2 linked regions of the Tamandua tetradactyla genome follow. The main gene of each other region encodes a partner of the protein of the gene in region 2 in a complex. Links are inferred from orthologs where the notes say so. Each region holds a gene or a part of one and is shown on either strand. Other genes may lie near its edges.

Evidence for each region.
Region 1: the proteins of SIRT3 (region 2) and ACSS1 are in contact, whole or in part, in a crystal structure (PDB 3GLT), measured with the Homo sapiens proteins. The link is inferred for Tamandua tetradactyla from reciprocal best matches to the Homo sapiens genes SIRT3 and ACSS1. Residues at the interface, in NP_036371.1 of Homo sapiens: Gly145, Ala146, Gly147, Thr150, Pro151, Asp156, Phe157, Arg158, Ser159, Glu177, Phe180, Gln228, Asn229, Ile230, His248, Ile291, Val292, Phe293, Phe294, Gly295, Glu296, Pro297, Leu298, Gly319, Thr320, Ser321, Leu322, Glu323, Val324, Glu325; in NP_115890.2 of Homo sapiens: Ser640, Gly641, Lys642, Val643, Met644, Arg645.

The regions. Positions count from the first base shown.
Region 1 is NC_135327.1:35,090,009-35,097,331, forward strand, and holds the start of ACSS1 (acetyl-coenzyme A synthetase 2-like, mitochondrial), read left to right. Parts: upstream 1-4,185; 5' UTR 4,186-4,206; coding exon 4,207-4,495; intron 4,496-7,323. UniProt on the Homo sapiens protein: Catalyzes the synthesis of acetyl-CoA from short-chain fatty acids. Acetate is the preferred substrate. Can also utilize propionate with a much lower affinity. Provides acetyl-CoA that is utilized mainly for oxidation under ketogenic conditions.
Region 2 is NC_135335.1:80,361-87,581, forward strand, and holds the start of SIRT3 (NAD-dependent protein deacetylase sirtuin-3, mitochondrial), read right to left. Parts: upstream 3,001-7,221; 5' UTR 2,972-3,000; coding exon 2,889-2,971; intron 1-2,888. Other genes in the region: PSMD13 (26S proteasome non-ATPase regulatory subunit 13), read left to right, coding at 3,492-3,673, 5,153-5,231.

The sequences.
Region 1 (7,323 bases), on a different chromosome or scaffold from region 2:
CCTGAGAGTCTGCATTTCTAAGGTATACCCAGGTGATGGCAATGCTACCAGCCCATGGACCATACCTGGGAAGGTGAGGGTGGGTTGAGGATGGAGCCTTGGGGTCCAGAGTAAGAGCAAGGTGTGGCTTTCACTCAGAATCATGAAGGCTTTGGATTCTCCTCACTTGAAGAGTAACTTGATCTGGCCTGTTTTAAAGGAACTGTACAGCCTGCTGTGGGGCTAGACTGTATAACAGTGTAAGCCATTAAAACCTATTTCAAGGCCTCAAATAGCCAAAACAATCTTGAAAAGGATGACCAAAGATGGAAGACTCACCCTTCCTGCTCTCAAAACTTAATACAAAGCTGCAGCAGTTAAAACAGTGTGGTCCTGGCATAAAGATAGGCATATAGATCAATGGAATAGAATTGACTGTCCAGAAATAAACCCACACAGCTGTTGATTGTTGACAAGGGCTCCAAGTCCATTTAATGGGAAAGTAAATGCCTCTTCAACAAATGATGCTGGGACAACTGGAAATCCATCTGCAAAAGGTGAATCTGGACCCTTTCCTCTCATCATATACAAAACAAGTTAACTAAAAATGGAGCAAGGATATGAATGTAAGAGGTCAAATGATAAAACTTTACAAGAAAACACAGGGAAATATTTGCAGGCAATGGAGTCTCAGATTTTATACCAAAAGCATGAACAACAAAAGAAAAAATAGATAAACTGGACTTCATTAAAAAAAAATGTGCATCAAAGGACATTATCAAGAAAGGGCAAAGACAACCTATAGAATGGGAAAAAACATCTGGAAATGATATATCAATCTGCTAAGGATTTAATATCCAGGATATAGAAAGAACGGCTACAACACAACAGAGAAAGGACAGAACCCATTTGAAAAAATGGGCAAAGGATCTGAACAGACATTTCCTCGAACAAGTTATACAAATGGGCAATAGGCACATTAAAAGATACTCAATATCATTAGCATGATTACTTTACATCATTAGTTAAAGAAATGCAAATCAAAACACAGAGAGATACCACTTAATGCCCACTAGCCTGGATATTATTTAAAACACACCCACACCCACACAGAAAATAACGTATTGATGAGGATGTGGAGAAATAGGAACCTTCATATACTGTAAAATGGTTTCAGGCCCTCTGGAAAACAATTTGGAGGTTCCTCAGAAGGTTAAACATAGAATTACCTGGCAGACTCTGAGATTCCCCTTTTAGGTATCTATGTTACTAATGATAGCGGCGACTCAAACAGATTCTTTGTGCACCATTGTTCATAGAGGCATTATTCACAATAGCCAGAAGGCAGCCACCCAAGCGTACAGGTAAAAAAAATGTTACCTGTACACACAATGGAATGTCATTCAACCAAAAAAGAATGAAGTTCTGATGCATGCTATAACATGGAGGAAACCTGAAGACATTATGTTGAGTGACATAAACCAGACACAAAAGGACAAATATTGTTTTATATCTCTTACATAAAATACTTAGAATAAGCACATTTACAGAGACAGAAGGCAAAATAGTGGTTACTAGGGGTGGGGAGAGGGAGAATGGGAAGTTATTGCTTAATGAGTATGAGTTTCTGCTTGGGATGATGAAAATGTTCTGGAAATAATAGTGAAAGTTACACAATAGTGTCAATGTACTCAATGTCACAGAATTGCTCATTTAAAAATGGTTAAAATAATTTTTATGTTATGAATATTTCACCACAATGAAAAAAATAATAAAAATAGCCTATTGCAATAATCCAAAAAAGAGATGGGTGTGGTTTGGACTGGGGGAAGCGTGAGGGGTGATGGTGGGAGAAGAGTCCTGGTGCTTCAGGGATCTTGAAGGCAGGAACCAGGCTTTGCTGGTGGACGGCACATGGAAGGTGAAAGGTAGGAACCTAGGGATGACAAGGATTTAGGCTTGAAACAGAAGAAAATATAATGTCCACTCCCTGAACTGGGGAGGGCTGAGGGAGGATCAGTGTTTGAGGGAAGAATCCATGAGATATGATGCATTTAAGATGGTAATTAGACAGGACTCAAATTTGGAGAAAAGATCAAAAGGAAGAGGGAGAAGTTTGAGGGCTGAGCGCTGGGACACTCATACTTTGAGGGCAAGGAGATGAGGAGTTATCTGTAAAGAGGATTGAAAAACAGTGGCCACTGGGTAAGAGGAGAACCAGGCATTCCTTGTTGTAGTTGTATCGGTTATCTACTGCTGCATAACAAACCACCTCAAAACTTAGCTGCTTAAATCAGCAACTCTTTAGTAGTTCTCACAATTCTCTGGGTTGACTGGGTGATTCTTCCATTCAGTATGGTGCTGCCTGGGGTCCCCAGGTGGCTGCCTGGTTGGGGGCTAGAGCATCCGAGATGGCGTGCTTATATGTCTAAGCTTATATGGGTGGTTCTGACTGTCTGTTGGGGTGGCTCGGTTCTCTTCCAGGTGGTCCCTTTTCCTTCAAAAGACCAAACTAGCTTCCTTACTGCATTGCAGCAGGACTTGAAGAGAGTGAAGCTGAAGTTGTTGGGTCTCTCAAGGCCTGCTGTTGGAGCTGTCACATCCTAGTGGTCAGAACAGTAAGGCCAGGTCAGGTCCAAGGGAGGGGAGACAGACCCTAATTCCTGATGCATCAACCTTCCATCAAGTATACAGGAGGGGGTGAATTGCTGGTTGCCATTTCATTTTCAGAGACTAGCCATCACAGATATGACTGCTCTCTATTTACAATTTATATACTCTACTAAAATGAGAATTTAGGCCAGCAGTGCAGTAGACATTGAAATAAAAACTGGAGGGTGCTGGGTGCCACTCTTGGTCTTCCATGAGCCAACCACATGACTTTCAGCACCTCCTTTCACTTGCTTGGGCCTCAGTTTCCTCATTTGTTCCAAACAGGTTTTTCAACACAAAGCCAAAAAAAAAAAAAAAAAAAAAAAAAGCAAATGAGCACTTGGCACAGGTGCAGGGCACAGCCAAGTGCTCAGGAAAACTCTCATCACTTTCTCCAGTCTTCAAAGTAGTCTTCCACCAGAGGCAGGCGTTCTATGTGCAGGGGCTGGGGAAGCTCTGGGGAAAAGCATCTCACTCTGCAGATTTCACAAATAGCAGGAAGGAATCTTTCCCAATTCAAAGAACTCAACAAATCTCTTTTCCAAAATGCGCTTTCCTCTGTGTTTGTCTTCTTTGTTATGGTTAACTTCTTGGGTGTTGAAATATTTAAGAATCTGGCAGAGGGAAGTTTTTACAGAGTCTCCTTCTGTCTTTTCTGGCTGGATAACAAGAACCCCACCACCTGCGTGGATTGAGCATCCAGGTGCCAGTTCTGGACTAGGCGTTTCATGGAGCTTATCTCATTTATTCCCCACCGCAACATGACCAGGGAGGTATCATTCCTGTGTTGCAGGAAAGCAGACTGAGGCACAGAGAGGGTAAAGAACTTGCCCAAAGTCACAGAGTTGGTAAACAGTGGGGCCAGGGTTTAACCCCAGGCCAGAGATGTTGGAGGAACCAGAGAAAATTCCCATAACCCAAGTCAGTGGAAGTCTGCAGGTCTGTGTGCTTCTCTGGGGAAGGGATACCTCCCGCCAAGGGCATGGGGTGGGAGCCAGATAACGGACCTATGCCTTCACTGAATCTGGGTCTAAGGGTCCTTGGTCAGCCCATTTAGCCCAAGGGGGACGCGTCTGTGTGTGTGTGTGTGTGTGTGTGTTTGCGCGCGCGCGCGCGCGTAGAGTACAGGCAGGCCTGGTGGAACGAGGGGTTCACTCATGGGTGCGGAAAAACAGATTGACCCTTCGACCCATCTATCACTTGACTGGGCAGATCCCATCGGGTTCCCGCGGCGCCCGGCCTCTGCGTCCCCTGGGCGCACAGCCTGGGTTGATCTCGGCTTGGTGCAGCTGCCGGAGTTCTAGAAAGCTCCCAAATCGAAACCAAAACCCGCGGCGCCGGTCTGGGCTCTGACAACAGACCCCGGTCCTGTCCTACCCGCCAGACACCCCGGGTGCCAACATCCACCCTGCGCCCCCTCCCCTTTCTGGATCAGGGCAGTCTCCAGGAGGCGACTTCCGAACGGGAAGGGGCCCCCAGGAGTGGGCCGTGCCGGGGGCGGGGACAGGGGCGGGCCCGCGGGACACCCAAGAGCTCACCCTTCCGCCGATCCTCTGCAGCTGACTACCCGGAGGGATGGCAGCGCTCAGCCTTGGCCGCGGCGTCTCTCGGCTCCTGGGCTGTCTGCACCGGGCGAGTGCGCCGTGGCGGGCGGTCTCGGGGCGCATACGCGGCGCCCCCGACGCAGCGCAGCCCGGCTCCTACCTGGCGCTGAGCGCGCAGGCGGCCCGGGAGCCGGCCGCCTTCTGGGGGCCGCTGGCAAGGGAAACGCTTGTGTGGGACACCCCCTACCACACCGTCTGGGACTGCGACTTCAGCAGCGGCAAGATCGGCTGGTTCCTGGGAGGCCAGTTAAACGTCTCGGGTGAGTGGGCTGTGCGGGATCCCGGGCGCCCGGTGGCAGCAGCGGCCCCCGGGCCGAGCGGGTGTCACCCGGCGACGGGGCCACCCCGCGTGAGCGCCCTTCCGTTGTTCTGTCCGCCGACTCGAAACAGTGATGCCACCCGCTCCATACGCCCACCGGCCCCGGATCTCATCCCGGCCAGAGGCTCCAGTCCCCCGGTGCCGAGTCCACACCCGCAGAGACTCGGCGTCCCCCTGGACTCGGCTTCTCTGTCTGCCCTCTCCCAAGTTGAATTCTTGGGTTTCACCGCGCCAGGAGGACAAGCCTGCGAGGTGCAGCGGCTCACTCCTGGGTCACAGGGGGCTGGGATGGAGGGTGCGGGGCGCCCTGGAGTACGGGTTATCCAGCTCGAGTCCCTGGGGCCCGAGGCGAAAACGAAAGGCTTCCGGCGGTTGTCACTGTCAGCTGCTTCGCAATCGGGCGGAGTCGCTGCCTGGGAACTATGTCCACGTAAACAAACCGGCTCGTGGAGGGTGGCCCGGAACGGGACAAAGCCCGGCCCAGCCTCTGGAGTCAGTTACTTCCTTGCTCCCGGCCTATGGGCGGGAAGAAAGGGGCAGCGGGGCCTCCCTCTTGCCGGCAGCAGTTGCGCCCCAAAGCCCCAGCGCCTGCCTTAGACCCGGCCTCGAAAGAGACTGAATCCACCGCTGATTTGTTAAGATTTGGGGTTTACAAGGACTGACACGTATCCCCACCCCAATAAACGGGGCTAATTTGGCAGCAAGGCGAGGGCGCCCAGGAACTGGGGACAGTGGCCAGTTGCCTGGAGCAAGGCTTGGGTGTCTGGCCTCTGGAGGAGGGGACTGCAGCCAGGTAGTAGGAGGGGGTTGTGCTGCCCCGAGGCTGGGGACCAGGGTCAGGTGGGGGTGCTGTGGGTTAAGAAAAGGACTGGCATGTTTTCATGGCATAGTCATGCTCTGACCTAGACCTGTCCTAGTTATTCTACTCCTCTTAACCCCTCTTTGTGAAATGGGGGCAATAATGTCCACCTCTTAGCATAGTTCCTAGCACTTATTGGTGATCAATAAGTGATCAATTTTAATATATTATATTCAGAGGTGGCCATAAAATTATGGGGAGTGTCTTGCAGTTATTTTTCTAATGAAGAAATTTAAGGAAACTTTGGGCCAGTTTTTTTTTTTCTTCATCCTGTGTCTTACTTGGCTGGTTTAATCAGAATTGGTCTCTTACTAGATAAGTGTGTTTTCTCTGAAATTGAGTCAGCAGCAGTATCTCTGAAAATTGCTTAGGTTGGCAGAGCTGGGAGAGCGTGCCCTTGAGGGAGGAGAGCTGCTGGTGAAGGATGGGGAAGGAGTGGGCAGTTCCTTGGAGGTTGCTGTGGCGACTTCTTGCTCTCAAATAAAATGTACTGGACCTCTGGGCCCTGCTCTGTTCAGGATCACGGTGTTGTCCACAAGTGATTCTGCCTTCCTATTTCCACCATTTATTTCCTCCAAAGAAGAGGTGGTTACCTTACCCAGAAATTGAGCCTCAGAAAACTGACTTGTAGGATAAAACCCAGCTTTTCAGCGCCATTCTCACCTCGAAAGTGTGTGCTAAACACCCACCTGGCCAGGAATAACCCCTGCCTTTTGCCAGAGGTGACAGATGAAAAAGGACCAGTCCAGTCCATGACTGCCCTGGAGGACACCTGGAAAGGTGGGACAGATGTGAACTCTTTGGCCTGATGTGCTTGTCCTGTGGGATAAAGTCAGCCTGATGGGGGCTTGTCCAGGGGGTGTCACATTAAAAAAAAAACTTTTTATTTTGAAATAACTTCAGACTTACAGGAAAGTTGCAAAAAGTGATGCAAAAACTATACAGAGAACTCCAACATACTCTCTGCCTAGTCACCGGATTTCTCAACTATTAGCATTTTGCCACATTTGTTAATCATTGTCTATCACCTGTCTTCTAAACCTTTAAGAGAGCAAACACGCTCACTTATGTAATCACCTTAATTACAGCTATCAAAATCCACAAATTAAACATTGATGTAAAGCTGACAGTCTATTCCAGCTTTTCACTTGCCCCAATGATGTTCTTTTGGGCATTTTCTCCTCTATTATTAGTTTCAGCTCAGGTTCATGGATTGCACCTAATTGTCATTATCTTTTTAATCTTGTTTTTAAATTGTGCCAACAAACATGTGCTAACAAATATAACATAAATTTCCCATCTCAGCCATCTGCAAGGGCATCAATTCTTTTTTTTTCTCAAGCAAAACTATATATTTTTTGAGCATCTCACAATTAACAACATATTCCTCATTGAGTCTTACTCTTTTTTCCTCTCTTTGACCTCAGATATATAGAGAAATTGGCAAAAGATAAATAGTATTCCTGGTTCATAGGTACTGGATAAAAGGCCCCCAGTAATCAGAGTCCTTATTCTTAGGTAGGGAATTACAAAAACTTTATTCATGTGATTGCCTAATAATAATCACTCACTCTTTCAATAAATATTTACTATGTGTCTGATATGAGCCAGGCAACCTGATAAGCCCTGAGAACACAGCAGTGAACAAAGCAAGAAAAATTTCACAGGGCGTCACTTCTGAAACTTCCATTACCCCTTCAGGAATACCAGGGGTTCTCAAACTGTGTTCCTCCACCAGCATCATCTGGGAACTAATTAGCAATGTAAATTCTCAAATCCACCCTATACTCCTGGAATCAAAAACTCTGGGGACAGGGCCCTGCATCTGTTTTAGCAAGCCCTCCAGATTACCCTGATACATGCTGAGTTTGAGAATCACCGATCTATATACCCCACACCTGAGCAGTCAA
Region 2 (7,221 bases):
CCACTATTTGCACAGTTAAGTTTTATAAACCAATTTGAAATTAAAGCAACAAGGAAAAAAGATCTACATATGTGGATAGCAAAGTTCTTTAAGTATTAAAAAACTAACTTAAATACCTTAAACCCATTTTTTTTAGTTTTGTTTCTACATTACACTCTTTATTTTTAACTTTTTTTTTAATTGTATGGTATAACATATATACTAAGAAAAGAAAGAAAAAGCAATCGTTTTCAAAGCACTCTTCAACACATAGTGACTGGGCAGATCCCAGAGTTTCTCATGGCCTATACGATAATCTCAGAGACCCTCCCATGACACCTCAGCGTCTACACTGAGACCCTCTCCATGACACCTCAGCGTCTACACTGAGACCCTCCCATGACACCTCAGCGTCTACACTGAGACCCTCCCATGACACCTCAGTGTCTACACTGAGACCCTCCCATGACACCTCAGCGTCTACACTGAGACCCTCCCATGACACCTCAGCGTCTACACTGAGACCTTCCCATGACACCTCAGCGTCTACACTGAGACCCTCTCCATGACACCTCCATATCTGCAGGGGCCCTCCCATGACACCTCAGCGTCTACACTGAGACCCTCCCATGACACCTCAGCGTCTACACTGAGACCCTCCCATGACACCTCAGCGTCTACACTGAGACCCTCCCATGACACCTCAGCGTCTACACTGAGACCCTCCCATGACACCTCAGTGTCTACACTGAGACCCTCTCCATGACACCTCCATATCTGCAGGGGCCCTCCCATGACACCTCAGCGTCTACACTGAGACCCTCCCATGACACCTCCATGTCTGCGTGACACCTCAGTGTCCGCACAGACCCTCCCCATGACTCTTTAGTGTCTATACAGACCCTCTCCAAGAGAACTCATTGTCTGCACAAACACTCTCATTGACATATCAGGTTATGAAAGACCCTCTCCATGACACCTCAGTGAGTCTATAGATGCTCTCCATGACACTTCAGTATCTAGAGACCCTCCCCACGACACCTCAGTGCCTGCAGAGCGACTCCGACATCTCATGTTCTGCACAGAGGCCGTCCCCACGACAGCTCTAAATGTAGACTCTTCCTCCCAACATCACTGACAGCCTGTACTGAGATCCCTCCACCCTGAAGGAAAGATTCTGAAAGTCCTCTTGACAGCCCTCTCAAAGTACACGATGACTCGAATGTAAATATAAACATAAAAACAAGAAACTCTTAAGTATTTATTCATCATGCTAGAAATAAATGTTTATTATTTCTCATACTCACCAGAAATAAACATCCTAAAACCATAATATTTTTAAGCTGCGTGTCAGGACAATTCATAATCTATCTTGCAGCTGGCATGGTCATAACTCACTTTTCTGTGTGCTTTTTCTTTTGTGTGTTTTTCTTTGCTTCTTTCAAAGCCAACACTCTTCACCAGACCAGTCCCTTGCTGCTGTGATTTTTCCTAACCCTCAGCTCGCATCCGTGATCGTCGTTTCCACTCCCCCAGAGAACCTACTGTCTTCATACAACACACACACAACCTTTGTGATCCGCCCCAGCGACCCTGACCTCCCACCACTTCCCTATCTCAGTCCAACAGAAGACTCCCTGTTTCACAGCTCTGCCCTAACCCGTAGGGCCTCGAACCCTTTTCTGCTTTGCGCCGCGCCTCCACCGCGGGCGAGCCCAGGGCAGGCCCAGCGGCCGCTCCTCGGGACCTCGCCTGGGCGCCTGCACCTCTCCCCGCCCTTCGCGCAGCTGCCCTGCCCGGGGACCCTGACTTCAGGCCACCTGGTCGCCGGCCACAGACAAGCGAGCTGTCCCTGCTCCGCCTCTCCGTGCTCGCTTCTCTCCGCAAAGCAAGTACACTCCGTGTGCTGCGAATCGGACTGGGGGCAGGAAGCCGAGGGTCCCTGAGAGGGGGAACACGGGTGCGGGCTGGGGGAGACCTCACAGAGGGAAACAAAGGGTAACCCCAAAGAGCCCCGAGCCCAAAAGCCGAGGGGCAGAAACTCCAGGGTGCAGCGAGCGCGCACCACGGCCCGGTGCTCGGCCCGCCCTCCGCCCCCTTCGCTTCGTGCCGGCCGGGCGGCCTCCTGCCCGGTACCTGACCGCTCAGGCGCGTCCCGGCCACACAGCCGGCGCAGGTCAGCTCGAACGGTGCAAGAAGCTCCGCGGAAACGAGCGTTACCTGTCCCGTACCCTGCCCTGACCGGCACCGGGAAGCGCCTGCCAGAGCGAGAGCTCAAGATCCCTTTATTACAGCCTCGCCACCGGCGCTCCAGCCGCTGCGTAAAACGGCGTCAAGCAACGTTCCGTTGTTTACTTAAACAGTTGTGCATTATTGGGCATTTAGGTTTCTTTCCATTTTTATCGCTATAAATAATTCTATGATGAGCGACTTTGGGCCTCAAGACTCTTCCATTGGTAGGCCCGGCTCCTAGATGAGGACCCCCAAGAGCACAATTACCGCGTGCACGTGGATGAGCACTTGCTGCTGCGTGGGAGACACAAAAGTGTTAAATGACCCAGCAGTCCCACCGCTAGGAACTGATCCAAAAAGTAAGGGGCGAGTAAGGGGAGTCCCCAGAATGGCGTGCGCAGCGACCGACGCGCACCACCTCCAAGGAACGCTTGAGTACACCACGGAGCAGCCACTGGGACCCTAAACCAGGTAAAGGGATGGACTACACAGAAATAACGCCAAGCCACATGAAACTTAAAAGGAAGGGCGGACGGAATCTCCACGTGACCACAACGCCGTGACCCCGCGCCCCGCCGGGCCGAGAGCAGGCATTTTAAGGCAGGGCGAATTTCCAAGGCCCCCGAGCGTGGAACTGGCTTCCAACCCGCACGTCCCGAGGCGGCTCCCGGACTAACCGAGGCAGGCGGCCCCGAGGCCAGCGGGAGCCGAGAAGCCCCCTCCCTAGGGCGGAACCTGCGCGACGGCTCCACAGCGCCATCTTCCTCCGCAGCCGGCGGCGTCCCCGACCGCCCCGCCCCGCCCCACCGCGCCGCGCTGCGCGCCCCGCCCCGCCCCCTGCGTGCTCGGTCATGCCCCCTTACGCCCTTGGCCCCGCCCTTGCGTGCTCGGGCACACGCCAGAGCGCGTGTCCTGCGGCCTTGACGTCGCCCGCTTGTGCCCACCCAGGTCGCACCCAGGGGAGGAAGGGTTCCGGTCGGTTGAATTACCGGACAAACATGGTGCCTGCATTTCTTTACCCGATACGCCAACCGTTTCCACCTAGGATGGTGATGACGACACTAACAAGTGTGCGCAGTGTGTCAGGCTTTACATTGACATTAAATCCAAGCAAGAACCCTACTAGGAAGGCCACTGATCCTTATTGGAGATGAGAAACGGTCGGTTCAGCTTTGAGCCTGAGTACCAGGGCCGAAGCGTCGGGTTACCTTGACAACCAGCAGTCGCCCGAGGCTGACCTACAGTGCTCCCGGCATGCTCCTCGCGGCGCGGCGCCGGAAATGAGCGAGCACTTCCGGCGGCCGTCTCCGCGGCGCTCACATCTTGTTGGGTTCGGTTGTGCAGCTGTCCCGGACTCTTCTGTCGTCATGAAGGACGTACCAGGCTTCCTACAGCAGAGCCAGAGCTCCGGGCCCGGCCAGGCCGCCGTGTGGCACCGTCTGGAGGAGCTGTACACGAAGAAGTGAGCGTTGAACCGAGGGGACCCGGGCGCCCGGGAATGAAGAGCGGCGGCCTGGCCGGTCATGGGGTGGAGTTGGGGGGAGGTCCGGCTCTTGATGGATGAAGGGTGCTCAGAGCGATGAGGGGAGAGGTCCGGAGGAGGCGGAGGAGGGTGGGGACGCTCTGGACTGCAGAGCGTCTGAGGACCCTCAAGGGGGCTGGACCCAAGGGAAGACGGGGGACAGCACACGAGGGCTGAGGACCAGGGCGGTTGCCAGGGTTTTGGGGTCTGGGATTCACTGAGAAGCTGTGATTGAAGCTTGTGGGCCCCCTTTCTTTCTCCCCTTACAGAAGGGATTCTGAACTGGCTTGTGATTTTAGTTCTTGAGCCCAGTCAAACAAGCCTTTCGGAGTCAGGCTGCCACCTCTTTTGAGTAACAAATCCTGGTGACTTGTTTTAGTATGACCGTATCTACAGTTATCTTTTTCACAACCTGGAGAATATAAACCAGAGGCCAGTGCGGTTGTGTTCTTTTCCCTGTTGATTCTGCAACTGGTTATATATGCATTTCCCATTGGGCTTTGTGTCCCTAGGAACAGGATGAATTTCAGAACAATTAAATTTTCTGTGGCTAAGCGCCAACCTCTTTTAGAATAAATAGGACACAGAATACATTGCCACCATCGAGTTAGAGATGTTCCATAGAAAAGTACCCCTTCTGTGATAACCTCCCAGGTAACAGTCATAGCCTTTAGAATAGTGCCTTTCAGATGGGTGCTGGTTACATGTTTTGATGATATTGTCAGTCTTCTACTATTAGGAGTTTTTTGAAAGAAAGTATTGGTGTTTGGTTAATGATTGCCTGTATTGGGTGGCATTTTGTATTTTTAAATTATGTATACAATGTTAATATTAGTCTTCAGTTTCTGGAAGACTGGGCACTATGCACTGTTCTAGGCATTCTGTGTTTTAGCTCATTTAATCCTTTACTCAGCTCCATTCACAGATAAGGAAACTGAAGTTTTGTTTAAGTACCTACCTTGAGATACAATTAATAAATAGATGAGGGTGGGCCACGGTGGCTCAGCAGGTAAGAGTGCTTGCCTGCCATGCCTGAGGACCTGGGTTCGATTCCCGGTGCCTGCCCATGTAAAAGAAAAAAAATAAAAAATAAATAAATAAATAGATGAGCCGGGATTTTCAGCTTAGATCTGTATGATTCCAAAGTCCTTTTTTCTAACTGAACCTCACAGTAACCCTTGAGGTAGCCTAGAAAAGTGTCCACTTTATAGCTGGGAAAACTGAGTCTTAGAGAGGTTAAGTGATTAAGCTTTAGTAGCAGAGCCAGAAAAAGAACTCAGGTTGATTAGCATTTGCTTTAGTATTCTTTTTTTCTATACAGTATTGACTGCTTAGTATTTATTTGATAGGACGAAGAAGGCAGAAGGTGTCTGAGACGCAATATTAATTTATACTTCTTGAGGGCCTTGTGTTTTTCAGGTTGTGGCATCAGCTGACACTTCAGGTGCTTGATTTTGTGCAGGACCCATGTTTTGCCCAAGGAGATGGTCTTATTAAGGTAAATAATTTACCATCTTAGATCAAACCATATAAATGCACTCAAGCACTTTTTAAAATAAATAAATAAAATAATAGCTGAACTTTTTAATGATAGTGACACTCATTTCAGCAATAACTTTATAGAAGGCTTTGTTCTGAGTACTTTACATATTTATTCATTTAATCTTCATAACATTGGGAGGTGAGTACTACTATTATCTCCTTTTAGAAGTAGAAACAGACACCAAGAGATTAAGTAACTTGTCCGTAAGTCACATCTAATAAATGGCAGAAGGGGATTCAAACAGACATTCTGCTTTTATTTATCTGAAATTGCAGCCTAAAAATATTGTCTCATAGCATGCTCTTGTATTCTACTGCTTATAGTCATATTTTGGAGTACTGTCACCCATCAGGGCTATAGAAGGTAGAGTACCTTTGTGCTTACCTTGTGGGTGAAGGGAGTGCTGTGTGCTGCCATGCTGGCTCTTTTAAAATTTTGTCAACAGAAAAAATAAGTTGAATTTCCCAGCATTAATAGTTATTGAACTATTCGTATTAATTGGTACTTCTCTTCTGGAGTTTGGGGTAAACTGTTTTGCTTTTTAATTTGACAGAAAAAAACATCAATTTCTAGCTATTTTGGTTATGTCTGTGTTTGGAGGCAGGAACGTGGACTTGAGCAGACACTTCATTATTCCTTTTTTTTTAAACTTTTTTTTATTAATTAAAAAAAATTAACAAAAACATTAAGATATCCTTCCATTCTACATATACAATCAGTAATTCTTAATATCATCATATAGTTGCATATTCATCATTTCTTAGAACATTTGCATCGATTTAGAAAAAGAAATAAAAAGACAACAGAAAAAGAAATAAAATGATAATAGAGAAAAAAAAAGATTATACATACCATATCCCTTACCCCTCACTTTCATTTACCACTAGCATTTCAAACTAAGTTTATTTTAACATTTGTTCCCCCTATTATTTATTTTTATTCCATATGTTCTACTCTTCTGTTGATATAGTAGCTAAAAGGAGCATCAGACACAAGGTTTTCACAATCAGAGTCTCATTGTGAAAGCTATATCATTGTTCAGTCATCATCAAGAAACATGGCTACTGGAACACAGCTCTACATTTTCAGGCAGTTCCCTCCAGCCTCTCCACTACATCTTGAACAACAAGGTGATACCTACTTAATGCATAAGAATAACCTCCAGGATAACCTCTTGACTCTTTGGAATCTCTCAGCCATTGACACTTAGTCTCATTTCACTCTTCCCCCTTTGGTCGAGAAGGTTCTCTCACTCCCTTGATGTTAATTACTTCATTATTCCTTAAGCGCTGATTCAGTAAACCAGCTGTTGAAAGTTAACCGAGATGGTTTCCTTGGTTCCAAACTAGCATATCAATCTGTGTTACCTTCCATACCTTAGAATGTGGGAAATGCCTCCATCTCAAATCAGACCAGAGGACATTCCACCAGCCTTTGTCTTTAGAGCTGTTAGAGCCTCTGGGTCCTGTCCTCAAGGTAGTGAGCCTTGTGAGTGACACGATTTCTCTGGGCCTCAGTTTCCCAGGTTGCTGCATTACTGTAGATACAAGCTCAGATGTCAGATGTAGAGTGCTTAGTGCAGCACCCGGTGGGTTAGATGACCCTGTGCACCTCTTAGCTCCCCTTTGTTTCCTTCCCGTTCTTGTCCGCTTCGGCAACTCCCTGTAGTTTGGCCAGCTCTTGTTTTGTTCTGTTTGTTTTTTAAAGATGCTGTGGTTTTCCTGGTCAGTTAGTTCTTCCTTTCTCTCTGTTTCCACAGTTCTGCAGTTCTCATATGTCTCTCTGAGCCCTTATTCAGGTATCTGCCAGAAACGTTTACCTGTCTGTTTATGTGGCATTCAGACCAGTGCAACCTCAGCTTCCTGTCACTCAGTAAGAATTTTATCTTCCTGCACCAACTCTTCTTCAGGTCAGTCCCCTCCATGCTATTGGCAGGGCGCCTCTC